3 linked regions of the Saccharomyces cerevisiae S288C genome follow. The protein of the gene in region 1 interacts with the protein of each later gene in a pairwise test. Each region holds a gene or a part of one and is shown in the gene's direction. Other genes may lie near its edges.

Region 1 (3,264 bases):
TCGAACCCGAATAAGAAGAGACACATTTATAGTGGCGAGATAGACTGTAGGTCTGTGACAGCAGCTAGAAAATTTCCAGTAAGGTCCTGTTCAATGACAGCCGCCCAGCAAAGAAAGAGAACTGCGCTATTCACAGTTAGGGAAAGAAACTCTTACCATGAGGGGTTCAATAATGATCAAGATTATGTGAGCCAATACCAGAAGCCACAGTACACTTTCGGAGTATATAAAGAATTAACACCTTATCAACTGCAGCGCTCTAAAATGAAAAGAAGCTTTCAATTTCCCAATGGCGAAATATACAAGCCAAAACTTGATGGAAAATGCACCCACAGCTTGAAAAAGCCTGAATTAAATTCAAGAGACTCTTCTTTATTCAAATTCAGCGAGAAGAAAGGTCGCAATTTATCAAAAGATTTTGTGGGGCCTCATAATGGGACATCAGTCATACATATTCCTCCCAATGATACAGGCTACGGTGTAAATAGCTTGGAGCTGAACACTTCAGTTCCTTCAACAATAAAAAGTTCGGTTTCATCAACCTCTCCGATATCTGCTGTTAATACCCTGACCAGCTTGCCAGAAAGTCAAACTGATGATGATGACGGTTATGAAAATAAAACTGTAACTATATCTTATTGCTTCGAAAATACGGTAAATGAAAAACATGGTAGCCATATAGAAAAATTGGATTTATCAACTAAGGAAAAAACTAAGCCAACAACTAATTCAGGCCTATTTGATAGAAAGAAAAAGACTATTCTGGGCACTGAGAAATATAGATGTATAAAGTCACAATCGAAGTTGAAACTGGGTTCTGTTTTGAAGAAATTATGGCGTACTTCAGGAAACTCGAATACAAAGCATGGAAAAAAGGATACAAAAAGAAGGAGAATTCCTATCGATGATATGGTTACGCATTCTGATGGAAATTCTGAAGCTGAGAATGATATTGAATTAATGGATGCAAATCTGGACGGCATTGAATTTGACGACGACGAAACTCTAATGGATACAGATTCAATTTTTGATGATCTGTTGTCCAAGGAAAATGATAAATACGATTTGAGGCGAAGGCAATTAGAAATACGACAAAAGCTCCACGAGACCTCGCACAACGACGATGGCAAGGTTTCTTTTCGAGATACCGAAAAGCATAATGTCAATGAAGGTTTGATCGACAAGACCATAATCGAAGAATTTTCAAAGCTCGGTGAATATATAATCGACACGAGAAATCAACCACCACCAAGATCGTCCAAGAGGCCTTCATTAGATGACAATGAATCTGCACGATACTTCTACAACATATCGACAGATTTGCGACAGTCTCTGTCAGGTCCAATAAGCTTACCAATGCATGTTGGGAACGACATGGTAAATAGGTTGAGAAATGACTGGGAGTATATCAGATTCGAAGATAGAAGGAATTCGCTGCCAGATTCCTCATTTGATAAAGTCGAAACACCTCCAAAACCAATAAAAAAAGATGTCCGGTTTGCAAAAGAAGTATGTTTAGCAAGCACTTGGTCATCGAATGCATATGAGAGAGCTAATCCGGAATTCATTATGAATCGCCACAGATTGTTGTGGATGATGAAAGTACATCCAAGCATGAATAGTGCCATGAATGAGATCAAACTTGAACTTAACTCTTACAAAAAAAATGAGATGGTTGTCCATGAGAACAGCAAGTGCTTTACACATTATTTAATTTGAGTTATTAACGTAACATAATCCAGTTTATTTTTTGCAATAGAAGGCGTCATACATATTTATATATCAATGTATACATTCCATTCCAGTTACTTCTTTTGCATCTTGCTTCCTGTTTACCTTGACCTCGAACCTATTATTTGTCCGCAATGCGCCTTTGGGTGAAAAGGGATTTCGTTTCCATTTTAACTGTACATAATGTAAATGTAGAAAAGCGTGGTTCTTAAAGGATTTACGGTTCAATACGCTTTTATAAACCTGCTGGTGCTCTAATTACGAATGAAACATGGACCAGGCAAGAAATTTCTACAACACAATTTTAAAATCGTCGCACCCGTTGCTACTATCATTTCATCTGGCAGGTAAGGCAGTTCCCATTGTATTTTATATCATAGGATCAATGTTTTTGAATTTCACACCTCAATTCATCACTGTCGTTCTTTTACTTTCTTTTGACTTTTACTTAACAAAAAACATTACAGGTCGGAAACTGGTCCAATTACGCTGGTGGTATGATTCTACAGATGTGAACAAAGATTCTAATTTTACTTTCGAATCATATAAGCAATATGCGCCGGGCCCACCAATAAATGCCATCGATTCTAAGTTATTCTGGTGGTCGATGTATGTGACACCCGTAATCTGGGGTGTCTTCGCTGTGTTGTGTCTTTTAAGACTGAAAATATTCTACCTGATTTTGGTCATTGTTGCAATGTGTCTGACCGCCTGGAACACGTATGGATTTCGTTGTTGCGATAGATGGGAGCCCAATAGTGGACAATCTGACGGTCAAGATACTAATAATTGGTTCGCTCTTCCTTCTGTTCCGGGCTTTGAAAATCTTTCAAGGCTGGCTAATATCCAATCGTTTTTCCAGAGACAATAAAACCTTGTCCCTCATGTGAACATTGTGGAGTACTTCTTCTAGATGATTTTTACTTTACGCAATGTACTACAGGAAAAGAATACAATTATATGTATAAATATAGTATACAAAAGAAAAAACAATATTAAAATATGAAAATGACGGATGAAGTCGTTATCTTCTTTTATAAATACAGGGCTTCAAGAGCCATTTTCCTTCGGCAATTTTCCGTCTTTTCTTTTCTAATTCTTCCTTCTCAGTTTCAACTTCAATAAACTTTTGTCTTCTTTCCAATTTCTGCCTTCTCTCTTCAATAATCTCCGCAGGTGGCTTGAAAAATTCGAATCTTGTAAACATCTTATTCTCGTCGAAGGTCTTTTTGTGAAAAAATCCCATCAGCTTCAAAGCGTCTACAAATTCATTACCTTTGCCGTCACTAAACCTTGATTTAATTTCTGCGATCCATAATTCACCCCTTGGCGCTAAAATCCTATAAGCTTCTTTTATGAAATCGAGGAAATTTGTACCCATTAGAGCCAGGCAGAAGACCACTATAGTACAGGACTCATCTGGTAGCGGCACATTTCTAATATCTGCCACAGTTATTCTTTCGTTAGCTTTCTTCAAATCAAAACTGTGGACTTTATGGCGTCTTTTCAAATATTTCTTCGCTTTCTTATTGT
Region 2 (3,078 bases), on another chromosome or scaffold:
TGTAAATGCCGTGTTCATCAAGAAATGGGCGCATTACTACAAGAAGTTTTGATATTTTTTGTAACTGTAATTTCACTCATGCACAAGAAAAAAAAAACTGGATTAAAAGGGAGCCCAAGGAAAACTCCTCAGCATATATTTAGAAGTCTCCTCAGCATATAGTTGTTTGTTTTCTTTACACATTCACTGTTTAATAAAACTTTTATAATATTTCATTATCGGAACTCTAGATTCTATACTTGTTTCCCAATTGTTGCTGGTAGTAAACGTATACGTCATAAAAGGGAAAAGCCACATGCGGAAGAATTTTATGGAAAAAAAAAAAACCTCGAAGTTACTACTTCTAGGGGGCCTATCAAGTAAATTACTCCTGGTACACTGAAGTATATAAGGGATATAGAAGCAAATAGTTGTCAGTGCAATCCTTCAAGACGATTGGGAAAATACTGTAATATAAATCGTAAAGGAAAATTGGAAATTTTTTAAAGATGTCTTCACTGGTTACTCTTAATAACGGTCTGAAAATGCCCCTAGTCGGCTTAGGGTGCTGGAAAATTGACAAAAAAGTCTGTGCGAATCAAATTTATGAAGCTATCAAATTAGGCTACCGTTTATTCGATGGTGCTTGCGACTACGGCAACGAAAAGGAAGTTGGTGAAGGTATCAGGAAAGCCATCTCCGAAGGTCTTGTTTCTAGAAAGGATATATTTGTTGTTTCAAAGTTATGGAACAATTTTCACCATCCTGATCATGTAAAATTAGCTTTAAAGAAGACCTTAAGCGATATGGGACTTGATTATTTAGACCTGTATTATATTCACTTCCCAATCGCCTTCAAATATGTTCCATTTGAAGAGAAATACCCTCCAGGATTCTATACGGGCGCAGATGACGAGAAGAAAGGTCACATCACCGAAGCACATGTACCAATCATAGATACGTACCGGGCTCTGGAAGAATGTGTTGATGAAGGCTTGATTAAGTCTATTGGTGTTTCCAACTTTCAGGGAAGCTTGATTCAAGATTTATTACGTGGTTGTAGAATCAAGCCCGTGGCTTTGCAAATTGAACACCATCCTTATTTGACTCAAGAACACCTAGTTGAGTTTTGTAAATTACACGATATCCAAGTAGTTGCTTACTCCTCCTTCGGTCCTCAATCATTCATTGAGATGGACTTACAGTTGGCAAAAACCACGCCAACTCTGTTCGAGAATGATGTAATCAAGAAGGTCTCACAAAACCATCCAGGCAGTACCACTTCCCAAGTATTGCTTAGATGGGCAACTCAGAGAGGCATTGCCGTCATTCCAAAATCTTCCAAGAAGGAAAGGTTACTTGGCAACCTAGAAATCGAAAAAAAGTTCACTTTAACGGAGCAAGAATTGAAGGATATTTCTGCACTAAATGCCAACATCAGATTTAATGATCCATGGACCTGGTTGGATGGTAAATTCCCCACTTTTGCCTGATCCAGCCAGTAAAATCCATACTCAACGACGATATGAACAAATTTCCCTCATTCCGATGCTGTATATGTGTATAAATTTTTACATGCTCTTCTGTTTAGACACAGAACAGCTTTAAATAAAATGTTGGATATACTTTTTCTGCCTGTGGTGTCATCCACGCTTTTAATTCATCTCTTGTATGGTTGACAATTTGGCTATTTTTTAACAGAACCCAACGGTAATTGAAATTAAAAGGGAAACGAGTGGGGGCGATGAGTGAGTGATACTAAAATAGACACCAAGAGAGCAAAGCGGTCCCAAAATCATTTGAGTAACCGGATATCTATCGGGATATTAATAGCAGCTTCCATTTCAACTAAAACAACAGCAAGATATGAGCGACAAGATATCCTTTCTACCTCCCGAACCCATCCAACTACTTGACGAAGACTCCACGGAGCCTGAACTCGACATTGACTCACAACAAGAAAATGAGGGACCCATCAGTGCGTCAAACAGCAATGATAGCACTAGCCATAGTAATGATTGCGGTGCCACAATTACCAGAACAAGACCTAGACGAAGCAGTTCTATCAATGCAAACTTTAGTTTTCAAAAGGCTCATGTCAGCGATTGCACCATAGTCAATGGCGACCATGGAACAAAGTTTGCTGTCTGGAGAATTACCGTATTTCTTGAACCCAACTTGAAGGCTTTTGCGGCCAAGAGGGAAAGCTATAAAATCCAAACCTATAAACGATACTCCGATTTCGTCAGATTACGAGAGAATTTGCTCACAAGAATCAAGACAGCGAAACCTGAGAAACTTAACTGTTTGCAGATTCCACACCTTCCCCCTTCAGTGCAGTGGTACAGTTCTTGGAAATATCAAGAAGTGAATCTGAACAAGGACTGGCTGGCAAAAAGACAGAGAGGGCTCGAGTACTTCCTCAATCACATCATCCTTAACAGCAGCCTCGTAGAAATGACCAAAGATATACTCATACAGTTTCTAGAGCCTTCAAAACGAGTTGCATAGCTCACCATCCCTATCCAACCGACTATTCTTCTCATCGACTACTACTATCCCATTTAACTCGGGCGCGTTGTTAATTAATCACTCGATGGGGAATGCCTTGAGCTGACCGCAATGAAAACTTTTAGGGGATCGTCCAACATTAAAGGAAGAACGAAACGGACTCCACAGTTTCTAATATAAATAAACAATGATAAAACATATAGTTTCGCCATTCAGGACGAATTTTGTTGGCATCAGCAAGTCCGTGCTGTCAAGGATGATTCATCACAAGGTTACAATCATAGGTTCTGGCCCCGCTGCCCACACCGCTGCTATATACTTGGCAAGAGCAGAGATGAAGCCCACATTATATGAGGGAATGATGGCCAACGGAATTGCTGCTGGTGGCCAATTGACAACAACCACCGATATCGAAAATTTCCCAGGGTTTCCTGAATCGTTGAGTGGCAGTGAACTGATGGAGAGGATGAGGAAACAATCTGCCAAGTTTGGCACTAACATAATTACCGAGACTGTCTCTAAAGTCGATTTATCTTCAAAACCATTCAGATTATGGACCGAATTTAATGAGGATGCAGAGCCTGTGAC
Region 3 (3,413 bases), on another chromosome or scaffold:
AGATCCCATTTCATATTCTGAGTTTTCATCGTCGATATTGGTCGTAATTTCGTCTAACCGTGTTTCCGCCGTGTATTCTCCACTAATAAATACTGAAATCCTCTTATTATTCGAGAGTTTTTTCTCAAAAGTCAACCCATTTGTCTTGAGATAATCCAAAACAAGTTCATATTCAGAGTAATCTTTTATCAGCCAGATCATTTTCAAGTATTTTACATTCTCCTTGTTAAAAAAATGCCTAAATAGTGGTAGGGCAAAAGATATACCAGACCCACCACATATAATAGCTATATTCGTGCCTTGAGAATAACATTCTTCGGGTACAGAGGGAGGATAACTATTAATCAAAGTATAGGTTTTTTCTTGATCTAAATGAAAGGATTTTGGATTACTACGAAGAGACTCTATCTGGCTACCTGGCTCGGCTGTAGAGGTTTCCTTTATAATAAGATCAATTGAATTGTCTTCTGCCAAAGACGCAATTGTGTATGGATGCGATGGTAGCAACCAATAGAGGGGATTAATTCTTCTGTAAGGGCTTATTCTAATATGCGACCCTGGTTCAAAATAATCTGGAAGAATAGCCCTGGGCAATCTTACATGGACTAAATTTGTTTTTGAATAATTCGCATTCTTATTCAAAATCATCAAGGATTTCGCAAATACTATTCTATTGATAATATGAATGAATAATAGGGTACAGTTTAGTAGAAGAAATGGGAACTTAACACCTGGCCTAGAGTGTATTGGGGTGAGTAAGATGAAGGCCACGTTCACCAGGTTATGTACGATGTAAAACAAACGATAGTTGTATCTTCTCATTGGCCCAATCGAGCAAATAAGTAAAAAAAGTACCAATATTGATATTATGAATCCCGCAAAATTGAAAGTTTTCAGAATCAATTTTTGCTTTAGAGAGACATTATCGTCTATCGCCCACTTAATGATGAAGAAAATCCCATGAAGCAAACCAATCACGGTGATAATACGTGAAAACCATTTATGGAACGGTATAAAATCAGTGTAGGTGCAATTTTTCCTAAGGAACCAATTAGGCCTTAAAGTGAGGAATAGGTTCAGCGGGATCAAGGCGTAACTCAACCTCCCTAATCTTTTGAGATAGACCGTAGATTGGGTAGTCAAAGAGTAATGGTAATAAAATGGAATCAAGACTGCAAAAAACAATATACCTAAGTGAATTGCAGGATCTATATCATACAACCGATAAATTATCTTATTTTTGAAAGCTGACGACGATCTGGATGGGGTTCTCCTTCCGAAAGCTCTCAAAAGAGCCAATCCAATGAGATAGACCAATGATATTATCAACACATAATACCCATACTTGATATTGGCAAAATGTGTCTCGGAATGTCTTTTAACCAACGTTATGAGAGGGGATTCTTTCATATTTATTGGAAGGCTTACCAAATTAGAAGTTTCTGGCGACGAGATATGGAAAATGTAGTTTTTAAATAACACGTCTACAATATAAGGAAGGAAAAGTCAAAATATTTTAGCGCCTTTAAGTGCGGTTGAGACCCCATAGTAGTATCCCTACAAATAATAGTTAAACTGTATTTTCAATACATAACGTAACAGTATATCGGTATTACGGAGCAGCGATCAATTAAACGCTATTTACCCGGCTGTGTATTATACCTAATTTCTCAAGCAGTGAAAATGTATCAACGTCCTACGCTCAAGGTAAAAGGGGCCAAGGGCAGCGACCACATTGGATCCAAACGCATTGGTTCTGTAGTTCTTTTTTACGCTTCATCCACGATTGTATACTAGCAAATAGGATTGACTCGACAAAAGCAGAAAAATGCCGTCCAATAATAGCAGTTTTTTAGATATTGACGATGATCTCGAGGGTGTAGATGATTTTGGCAACGAGCCCAACCCATTTGATGATGCCACCGTACCTGATAGCCCAAACATGAATAACTCGACTGCTGGAAAGGGTAGCGAATTTTATAACACAACGGGCAGTAAGGCAGAATCCGCACCATTACAGGGTCAAATGGACCCACCAGCGTACGACCAAGTGATAGGACAGAATGACAACGACGGTCTTGGGCGTAATGGATTGAGGCCAGGATTGATAAACTACTATTCTAAATACTTCCAGATCGATTTGACGCAGTTCAAAAAGAGATTGTCCGCGGTACTGACGTTTAGAAACGATCATAATTCCGAAAGTAACGAAGATAACACTGATTTATACGGTGCTGTATGGATCACTGCCACGGTGGTAATGATCAATTTTACCATGAGTAGGGGGTTAAATTTTATTATCAGTGACGTAATTGAGGGCGTCAAGACTGGTGAGGACATCGACAGGGCCAGTCAGTTTAAGAAGCTACTGCATTCTATTTGGCTATTTTACGGGTACACGTTCGGCGTACCATTTATTACCATGCAAGTATTGAATAGAGATGAGCACTCGGAGCGCAATAGAAGCTTCAAAAGTGTTCCTGAATTGATTTCCGTTTACGGGTACGCTAACTTGATCTGGATACCCGTTTGTGTTATATTGAATATATTGGATATGTCCAAGCGCCTGAGGACTGTTCAAGCAATTCAATGGGCAATTGTGGCTCTTGGGTGGGCACAGTCGTCTTATTTCTTGAATTCTCAAATATCGAGTAATAATAATACGGAGACACAATCGAACGGGAAATTTTCGCTGTCCATCATCGTTGTCGTTGCGCTGCATACTTTATTCTGTCTATTGTTCAGGTTTATAATATTTTGAAAATATGCGCACGTCTATACACACAATACTTTTTATGACTAGTATCATTGTATACTCTTATTATGTAGGGTTATACATGAGTGTTTATACGTTTTCTGTGTGTACATATATATCCATATATGTTAATGCTAAATGCAAGTTTTGTGATGCTATTCATTAGAGATGCCTTTGTCTAAAAATCAATGCTTTTATAGTCATCATAGGTTATGTCGTAAATGGTTTTATCCTTAAATTTTAAGGAGATTTTGGATGAAATGTTTATGTCAGCTCTGGTAAAGCCTTTTGAAAAAGTACATTTATCATTTTTTGGGAAATTAGTGGAAGAAGAAGAATGCTTTTTCTTAATGCATGGTAAACAAGGTGTGAGCAAAACCAACTTATCAATATGCTTAATCAACTTGCGTGAGCCTGTACCCTCAATGACATCATCCGGTATGGCAATATTCCGCAACAGCGTGCCTCGATATAGCCGAATATCGTCAGGAGTCAAGACGTACCGCAACTTGTTCGAGATCATTGGCATTATAGTATCGTCTTGAAGCAAAATCTCAATTTTCGCATTACATTTTATTTTTTTCAAACGACATTTGTCACAACTTGGGCCACTTCTTTGTCTCTTGGAAATTGAACTAGTAGATGTGGCAGAGGAGGT

What was found.
Region 2: the proteins of TVP23 (region 1) and YPT35 interact in a two-hybrid assay, tested with the Saccharomyces cerevisiae proteins (one study listed by BioGRID).
Region 3: the proteins of TVP23 (region 1) and YIP5 interact in a two-hybrid assay, tested with the Saccharomyces cerevisiae proteins (2 studies listed by BioGRID).

Annotation. Positions count from the first base shown.
Region 1 is NC_001136.10:612,743-616,006, reverse strand, and holds TVP23 (Tvp23p), read left to right. Parts: upstream 1-2,002; coding exon 2,003-2,602; downstream 2,603-3,264. Other genes in the region: AFR1 (Afr1p), read left to right, coding at 1-1,719; RRP8 (25S rRNA (adenine645-N1)-methyltransferase), read right to left, coding at 2,756-3,264. UniProt on the Saccharomyces cerevisiae protein: Golgi membrane protein involved in vesicular trafficking.
Region 2 is NC_001140.6:322,921-325,998, forward strand, and holds YPT35 (Ypt35p), read left to right. Parts: upstream 1-1,845; coding exon 1,846-2,490; downstream 2,491-3,078. Other genes in the region: SBE22 (Sbe22p), read left to right, coding at 1-52; GRE3 (trifunctional aldehyde reductase/xylose reductase/glucose 1-dehydrogenase (NADP(+))), read left to right, coding at 489-1,472; thioredoxin-disulfide reductase TRR2, read left to right, coding at 2,678-3,078.
Region 3 is NC_001139.9:198,558-201,970, reverse strand, and holds YIP5 (Yip5p), read left to right. Parts: upstream 1-1,828; coding exon 1,829-2,761; downstream 2,762-3,413. Other genes in the region: AIM14 (putative metalloreductase), read right to left, coding at 1-1,410; SUT1 (Sut1p), read right to left, coding at 2,934-3,413. UniProt on the Saccharomyces cerevisiae protein: Possible role in vesicle-mediated transport. May be involved in proper membrane localization of Rab GTPases.